Linked DNA regions of Tribolium castaneum. The protein of the gene in region 1 interacts with the protein of each later gene in a biochemical or structural test. Links are inferred from orthologs where the notes say so. Each region holds a gene or a part of one and is shown on either strand. Other genes may lie near its edges.

What was found.
Region 2: the proteins of mini-chromosome maintenance complex-binding protein (region 1) and Mcm5 form a complex in vitro, tested with the Homo sapiens proteins (2 studies listed by BioGRID). The link is inferred for Tribolium castaneum from reciprocal best matches to the Homo sapiens genes MCMBP and MCM5.

Annotation. Positions count from the first base shown.
Region 1 is NC_087394.1:35,481,092-35,485,472, reverse strand, and holds mini-chromosome maintenance complex-binding protein, read right to left. Parts: upstream 2,974-4,381; 5' UTR 2,766-2,973; coding exon 2,676-2,765; intron 2,627-2,675; coding exon 2,444-2,626; intron 2,394-2,443; coding exon 2,295-2,393; intron 2,251-2,294; coding exon 1,694-2,250; intron 1,642-1,693; coding exon 1,462-1,641; intron 1,398-1,461; coding exon 1,154-1,397; intron 1,106-1,153; coding exon 938-1,105; intron 891-937; coding exon 693-890; 3' UTR 636-692; downstream 1-635. Other genes in the region: ciliary microtubule inner protein 2B, read left to right, coding at 216-448; vacuolar fusion protein CCZ1 homolog, read left to right, coding at 3,150-3,224, 3,269-3,366, 3,414-3,507, 3,555-3,761, 3,808-3,983, 4,038-4,327, 4,374-4,381. UniProt on the Homo sapiens protein: Associated component of the MCM complex that acts as a regulator of DNA replication.
Region 2 is NC_087396.1:20,945,406-20,949,229, reverse strand, and holds part of Mcm5 (DNA replication licensing factor Mcm5), read right to left. Parts: intron 3,050-3,824; coding exon of another isoform or gene 3,039-3,049; exon of another isoform or gene 2,669-3,038; intron 1,539-2,668; coding exon of another isoform or gene 1,414-1,538; exon of another isoform or gene 1,103-1,413; intron 700-1,102; 5' UTR 574-699; coding exon 419-573; intron 373-418; coding exon 117-372; intron 70-116; coding exon 1-69. Other genes in the region: Pli (protein pellino), read left to right, coding at 1,414-1,538. UniProt on the Homo sapiens protein: Acts as a component of the MCM2-7 complex (MCM complex) which is the replicative helicase essential for 'once per cell cycle' DNA replication initiation and elongation in eukaryotic cells.

The DNA.
Region 1 (4,381 bases):
TTCACAACAAAAGATTCAGCGAAACTGGTGGTATTATCAGAAAAAAAATCTTAGCCATTCTGAAATACATTTGATACTCGATTTGAGATAACAGTTAAAATATACTTTAAGTAAACTTATTATGGCTAGATGAGCCCATAAAATAGTTTAATACAAAGGAAAATCCCTCACGAAATTCTCTGAGGAAATAACACCCCACTTGACTAATTTTGCAGATCATAAAATTTCTCCGGATTATCCACCAATTGCCGGATACACGGGACACATCCCACGTGTGAAAGGGAACGAAGAATCGCTGTCTCAGCGTTACAATACAGTCGTAAAAAGAGGACTAACACTGTTACAGAAGGAAAGAGAAAGGATACAAAGTTTGAAGAAGGCGCAAAACCAAGTCGTTGGAGTTTTGCAAGACTTTGAAAATCTTCACAAAAGAGTAGAAACTTCGTAATGTTGCTTGTGGCAACGTTATTGAAGGGAGAATAGAAGCTTTAGTGTTTCATTGTTGTGAAATATCACAAAGCGCAAATGTATATGCAGTCAAACCTCTGTAATCCGAATTAACTTTGCACTGTGTTCTTCGGATTAAAGAGGTTGTACTGTAATCGTATTTTGTTTGGTTGTTTATTGAAACAATGTTTAAAAAGTGACAATTTATTATCAGAAAATAGAAAATAAAAACCACATCTTTTAAATTATTTCTCGGAACTGCGATTCTTTATTCTTTCTTTTCGGGCTTCTTCCAAGGCACACGCTTTCTTCCAACATTCCTCATCCAAGGTGTTTCTTCCTTGTGAGATGCAAACAAGTCTCGCCAAAACAAGGAGACTGTGAAGATCGTCTCCTGTGATGTTACCAGCTTGTCTCATTTCAACAAACTTATTTTGGACCATCTACAATTTTTTTTTCCTGATAATTGACACCAAAAAATGCAATTTACCTCAAGCACACCGTCTGATAAGTCATATTGGGTCAACCGGGCGTTAGTTAGATAAAGTCGAATATCATTTAGCAGCTCAGGTTTGAGGAAATGTTTTGCCGCTTCCAGAATCTCGCTGAAAGTCTTTAAATGCATTTCTTCTGGTTTGAGAATTACATGAACATCGCTCTAGAAAAATTTTTTTCAAAACTGTTTAACAAAGTGATAAGTACAAACCGGCAGCATTGATTTGCCTTCAGAAAACACAAGAAACGGAATATCACAATCATACTCGAGCTGATAGTACGTGAAATCGTACATGATTTTTTGGTTCTTGATGGTGTTTGAAAGAGCGCGAACTCCGGTAACTCCGCCCTCGTTTAATTTTCCCGGAGTTAGTTTCGTCTCGTCCAACACCAAATGAGTATTATCACTTAATTGCAAAACACTACTTGTTAAACGATCCGAACTGTAGTCTTTTCTTCAAAAACAAGCCAAGAAGAATCATTTTACACAAACTGAAATAACGGTGCTACGGAACTTACTTTGGAACAAAATTGAGCTCATTCATATTCTCGAGCAACATCGGCAAATAATGACTTTTGGTAGTGAGGGTCTCTACAAACTTGTAAATTTCCTGGACATAATCAATGTTTTCAAGCATTGGGACGTTGGAAATGTTTAAGGAAAATTTTCCAAGTGCCATTAAATCTTTCCGCAAGTAGCTAAAAGTCTACACGTGAAAAATAGCAGAATCAAATGTGCGAATTCCCTTACACTTTAGAAATGAAGTGGTAAATTAAATACTCGGCTGCCAATTCATCTCCACACATTAATTGTGTTAATAGAATCAAAAGTTCTTTTCTAATGATCTGCATTTTATCAGCGCTCATTTTTTCGTGCGTAACTAATGGATTATTGTGAGTCAATGATTTGAACGACACACAATGAATTCTAGGAATTAAACACGGAGGAGGATTGTGAATTTGAGACTCCAGACCGTTCATATCATCATCAATGTTAGCCCCTAAAAGCGGATTGAGGGACAAAAAGCCCACAAATTCACAAATTGAGTTCAATTTAATCTTGTCCATGTCTTTGTATACTTTTAAGTGGCATACTTTGCCAGACGGATTGGGGATTGGGAAATTTAAAAGGTACTCTTGGGAAACAACAGGTGTTGTTTCTGCAGGTTGTGCTGACTGATTACATGGGCGCTTGTTAGAGTTTGATGGTTCAGTTGCACTAGCGACTTCCATTTCTTCAACGGGTCGTTTTAAGTGCACTGAAGTTGAAGAGCTTGTAGACGGTAGTTTGTACCTGTCCTCCTCAAGCTAATTTTTTTATTACACAACCCCTCAATTAAAACAATACTCACTTTATGAACCCATGGATTAATACCAGGGATTGAAATTGCAACGTAAACATGCCGCTCACTTGGAGTGGTTGAGGGACATTCCTCAATGGTTTCATTAGACTGTCAACACATACTCAGCCCCCGAATAGCTTTCAAAAAATTACTCTTACCTTACAGTCTGCACCATCAACGTATTTGCCGTATTTAATAGTACTTTCTGCAGTTTCAGTGTTTGTAACAGTGAATTTTTCCAAGTAGAGTTCGGGACCGTGCATATCCTGTATCATGCCCTGGAAGCGAACCAGTTGCCAGTCTTGGAAATTGTGCAGCTCGTTTGCATTCAACAGTGGAATCTAACAATGTACAAAGTGTTCAAAAATTGTAAAAGTGTAACTTTCTAACCTGATTCCAGATTTGTTCGTTTTGAAGTAATTCCGAATATTTCGTTTCGTTTAGGTACCATTGGTCGGGCCTACAGTTTAATAAGTCCATTTTTGCACTCGTTATTATTATTTTTAAAGAAAAAGGAACACCCGAAAATAACCTCGAAAAAGGGTTACACTTTTTGGCGCCAAATTATATGTCAATCTTTGCGTTGCAACTTGCAATTTCCCTAATCCCAAACAACTTTAAAAAATATTAAAGACACTTGAGGAAGGAATAATTATACAATAGATATGCTCTAGTTCTAAAACTGACGGCAAAAGTAGGTACTTTGGTACCTGTCCGCGTATTTTTAATGTTTGAGATGTATGGCAAATGAATAATATGGATCAATGGATATTGCTAAACATAACATAACCTAGTAAAAATTTTGGACTTGAAAAATTTGTTTCTAAAAACATAATATTATTCAATAAGTTTCGAACCGGAATTATGAGTAAAAACAAAGACGTGGAGTTAAAAAACTTTTTTATTTTCAATTCTCTATATGGCCCCAAGGAAGGGGAGGTGCGTACGCCCCTTTTAGAACACAATCACAATGTCTTTTCCAGGAACTGAAAAAAATTCTTTATTATTATCCAATATCTGACAATGCCGATGTACAAATAAAGAATGTGGGGTTAGTTGAGGGGATCATTCAATTCACTGGGTAAAGTGTTTGAGATAAGGGGCAAAAAACTGTAAGATTTCTTGTAGCACATTTAAACCAAGCACTCCAGTGAATTCACTACATACGCAAAAAATGCGTCAATTGTATTTCCAACCAGAAAAAAATATGTGGATTGTTTTGGTATTTACACATCTTTAATCAATACTTTTAAGCACTAAATATTATAGACGTTAACTTTACCAACCGAAGTTAAGGGGAAGGACAGTTCAACTCAAATCGAATATCTCGAGGATGATGTACAAGACAATGTTTACGAAGCCGTCTTAAAACAAGCCTATTACACGTATAGACTTTTCTGGGGCACTTTTGAACACACGATTGAGAACCACGATGTGGGCACACTTAAAACAAGACTTGAAAGTTTCTATAAAGCTGTAAGTTAACAAGATTATTTAAGAAATTTTAATTTATACTTCACAGTATCTGAAAACCTTAAAACTAGGGCATGCTGATATTCTGAACGTGTTCCACGGAATTCAGTATCTGCCTCTTGACAAACTAACTTTTTTAAAAGTCCAATGTTTTATCAATTCACTTGAATGCGAGTATCCCGAAATTGCGTACACAGCGTTCTTATACAACGATCATCTCATATGGTAATTAATTCAAATAACTTAAAACTTGTTTTATAAGTAATAACTAATTCAAAGGAGCGGTTTTGAACCCAAAGACATGAAAATTGTGTACCAATATTTAATTGGCACTTTACTGCCCGCCAACATGGAGGCTGAACTTCAAGGGGGCTCAATGCCCCGTAATTCTGTTTCACCTTTTGCTGCATTACATCACGGTCGTTTCATTACGGGACCTACAAATTTAAAAACAGCCAAAAATGTGGGGAAAATACCCAAAGTTTATTTATTTGCCTCAGGGAAGGCCGAGTCCTACAACTTGGTGGTTTATAGGGCGCTAAGTGCGTCCGTTTGTTTATTTATGAGAGGTTTGTTTCGTTTGTTTGGTTTTATTAAATTAATTGTTAATTATAGCCGACAAG
Region 2 (3,824 bases), on another chromosome or scaffold:
TTTGGCTTTAATCCCTGACGCACTGACCACAATCCCTGGGATTTTCACTAGTTTTGAGACAACGTCCGACTGAAATCATGCGATTGTAAAGCGGTAAACCCCCGAAAAAACCCTACTTTCATGTTCCTTAAGTTTGTCGGAGTGGCGTCTGAAGACAGCATAATTTGTATGTCTTCAACTGCTTCCTCTCCTTCGGGACGTGGGGCTGTGAGTTCGTCGGCCACTTCCTTGGCCGCTTCCTCAAATATAACCAAGTGTTCCGACGGGTGTTTGTATAGTTTGTCGGCCAACGTCTCGTCAAAAGCGCCAACATCTTCAATGTTGACTTCCAGGTAATATTGGCGCAGGTTGTAATTGCGCTTCAGGGTGTCCCTATAAGGGGGTTTCAGTGATTTTTGGCAATAAATTGGAAACAGACCTGTATTTGTAGCTGAAATTGTCGGTGTGGTATTGTCGGATGAACTCCTTGAACTTTTTCTTAACACCTTGTAAATTGATTTGGGGGTCGCTTTGGTTGTCCTCAACCGTGAAATTATCACTGTAAAACACTCCTGGATCATCGAAACCTTCCATTTTCGTATAAAACACCGATTTTGTGGCGAATAAAGCGTTGTTGTTACACGGAAGTAAATTGGCGGGAACTTTGCGCCAAAGCTGCCAACATTAGTGGTGACGTTTGGTGCCACAAATTCACTAAAACTGGTTTAAAAATTCAAATTTGAAATTCTTTATTTATTTCGAACGTTTTCAAGTTATGAACTTGGTTTAATTTGCCGCTTCTGTCCTTTGTTAATAATAATTGGCTCATTTTTTGCTAAAAAACGCAATAATGTCGCAAAAATTCAGCAAAAAAAAATCAAAAAAATCACTGAATTAGCTCAAAAATTGTCAGTGTCACTTTGACAGTTCCAAAAAAATGGCATTTGAATAATTTGGGTAAAAATAATAAAAATAAATAAATCTGACCCAACATGAAAGAAACTGAACCGGACGTTGTTTCGATTTTAAATTTACGATTCAAAAAAATTCTTTTATGTGATTTTTTTTTGACGAGGGGGGTGAAAAAATTTTTGCACTTCTGCGCCCCTCCAGCCTCAAATTGCATCATCTCCGCCCAGATCTAGGCCGCACCACTGGCGTATTTTGAACAAGTTGAAACCAGTCAGATTGGTGGATGTTGGGCGCTGATTCATCCTCGAACCAATCGCTTAGTCGGAAGTGCCACAAAACCTGCCAGATTTCGCCTCCACAGAGCAAAATCTGCGAAAATGTTGTGCTCGTCTTTGTTTTGACTTGTCGACGCAAAGTCATGACAAGAATGGATCTTTCCACTCTTTCCTATAATATTCTGCGCGATTCGGTGGTTGTCGTGACTTGTCTTCTGATATTTAGTGGTGACTTTACGGCCGGAAAATGGACGAGAGAAAAATGGAACCGAAGGAAGTTTCCACTGAAGTTTTAGTTAAAGTGTATTGCGAAATTGAGTGGTGTTTTAGTGACTCTGGGGATAATAACATGCTAATTAAGAAAATGAAGTTGTAAGTTTGCCATGTTTTTTGTTGTTTGTTTTTCTTGTATTACTTTCTTCTTGTGACATTGATATTGATAACGATGTGATAAGAATGGTTGACTATGAACTGCCTAAGACTTAATTTTTGAATAGGTAATGTGAGAATTTCACCACTTTGGCCTTGCCTATGATTAGTCAGCTAAATTTTTCAGAATTTTGAAAAAAAGGCCCCAATATTTTTTTCAAATAATAAAATTACCAGCAGCCAAAAAATGAACATGCACAATTTTAATTTTCAGGGTGAGTAAATAGTGCCAATTAACACTTTAGCAAAAACCTTATCAGGGCCTTTACATTTATTTATATTTTCTTTTGAAACCGATCGTTTAAAACAATATCGTATTTCAAACGTGAATTTGATATTTGTTGGCCTTGTTTTGCAAAATTTAGAGAAATTCTATAGACGAAAAATGCTTTAACCCGATAGAAATATTAAAAATAGGGAAAAATACCACATTTCAGAAGCAATTTTGTTCATTTTTGCTTTTATCTTAGTTAAATCTGTGAGTATACGCGAAAAAAGCTCGGATACGGCTCGATTTGTAAACTTCATTATCGTAATAAATTCTCGTCATTCTCGGTAAATAATAACTCTACAGAGTGTTTCTTTTTAGTACTAAATTATCGCTCCTTGGAGCATATTATTAAAAAAAAGATGCCAAAGAAAGACTTTCTTTGGCACCCCTGTAGATTAAAATTATGTCTAGCCGCGATGTTTTTTTGTCACTTTAAAGTGAAATAAAATAGTTTTCACTGGTAACAAGTTTTTCTTGATCTTGATCTAAATCTTCCAAATTTTTATAATGTCTATTGTTACACCCTAAAGTCTGATTAATTTAATTTATTTATTAATTTATTAGTTCAGTAAAATTACAAAGAGAAAATGTATTCCGACACCATGTTGGTAGCGTTGGTACTCCTGAAAGCCGGCCCTGACCATTGCAATTTCCCACCGCCTTTTTTGCATTAGGCCATTTCGCATTTACGCTGACAAGGTGATAATAGATTTGGTCGATGAATCGTCAATAAAGACATTCAAAAATTCGCCAAAATCGTGCACCCCGCCACTGTCGTCTGTCATTTCGCTTTTTCACTTCCGGTCCCAGCAGATGTCAGCACTCGCCCAATGTTTACATCCCACCGTCGACGTCCCCCACGATCGACATCCATCCACCGCGCCATTGTTATCGGTAAAAGTGCGGAGAGTGTCCGTGGAAAAGCATCACCGTGCGTGTTTTTCCCCTTGGAAGTCGTGCTTTCATCGCAAACGGTGCGAAACCTCCGTGAAAGCGTCCGCCAGTGCAACGAAGACGGCCGTGCCTAGTGAATGCGTGTGCCACCAGTGATAAACATGCACGAATCGGCGGCTCTAGTGATGTTTTTAGTGAAGCAACGACACCAGTGATTGATATTTTTATGCGTTTCGAATACGACAATCGCAGCCAAACTGTTTAAGACGGCTTCAGAAATGGTGAAAAGGTGGGTACTGGCACCACGAGGGGACTTCATCACGATTTAATCGCTTCATTATTGATTTTGTGCGATTATTATGACGACAAAGGGCCATCGCGACGCCTGATTGTCACTGGAAATGTCAACGATCGGCGATTTTTTATCGCTGGCTAAAGGGGCGTTCACACGTGTTGTTGACAATAACAAGGGACGAAAGTCCACTTTTCCTAACGGTGTGCCTTAAGACGTGATCGAAAAATTAGACAATTTTGGGTCACATGTGGGTACAGTACCGCTAGGAAGTTTTGGCCATTAGTTGCCGGCCTGGCCAAAATTCTCGGTCACGACTGTACATTTCTAATTACCATTTATCAGTGATCTCATTGGTGTAGTCGTAGCATGTTTTTCATGAATTATACATTACAAATAGCTATTAATGATGCACGTGCTTATTAGCGTGAGTAATTGAGATTTTCATACAAAATTGAGCAAGTTTTTAACCTCGTTTGACGATATTTTGTTTGAGTTTTACAAGAGGAAGTGCTTATCTGTTTCGCAAGATAATAAATATTCCAAGTCGAAGATTAAGGACTGAAAACCAAAGATTAATTCTAGAGGTAGTTGGTCACAAATTGCAAGAAACTGAATGAATCACAACAGAAAAATACCAGTCACTCTTACAAATTGTAGAGTAGTGGAACTGAGAACTAATGCAAAGTCCACAAGCAAATTTTTTTTTTGCATTTTAACCCAAACATTTATATAATTACGTCAAGAATTACTTTATTTTGAGTTCAAAAAC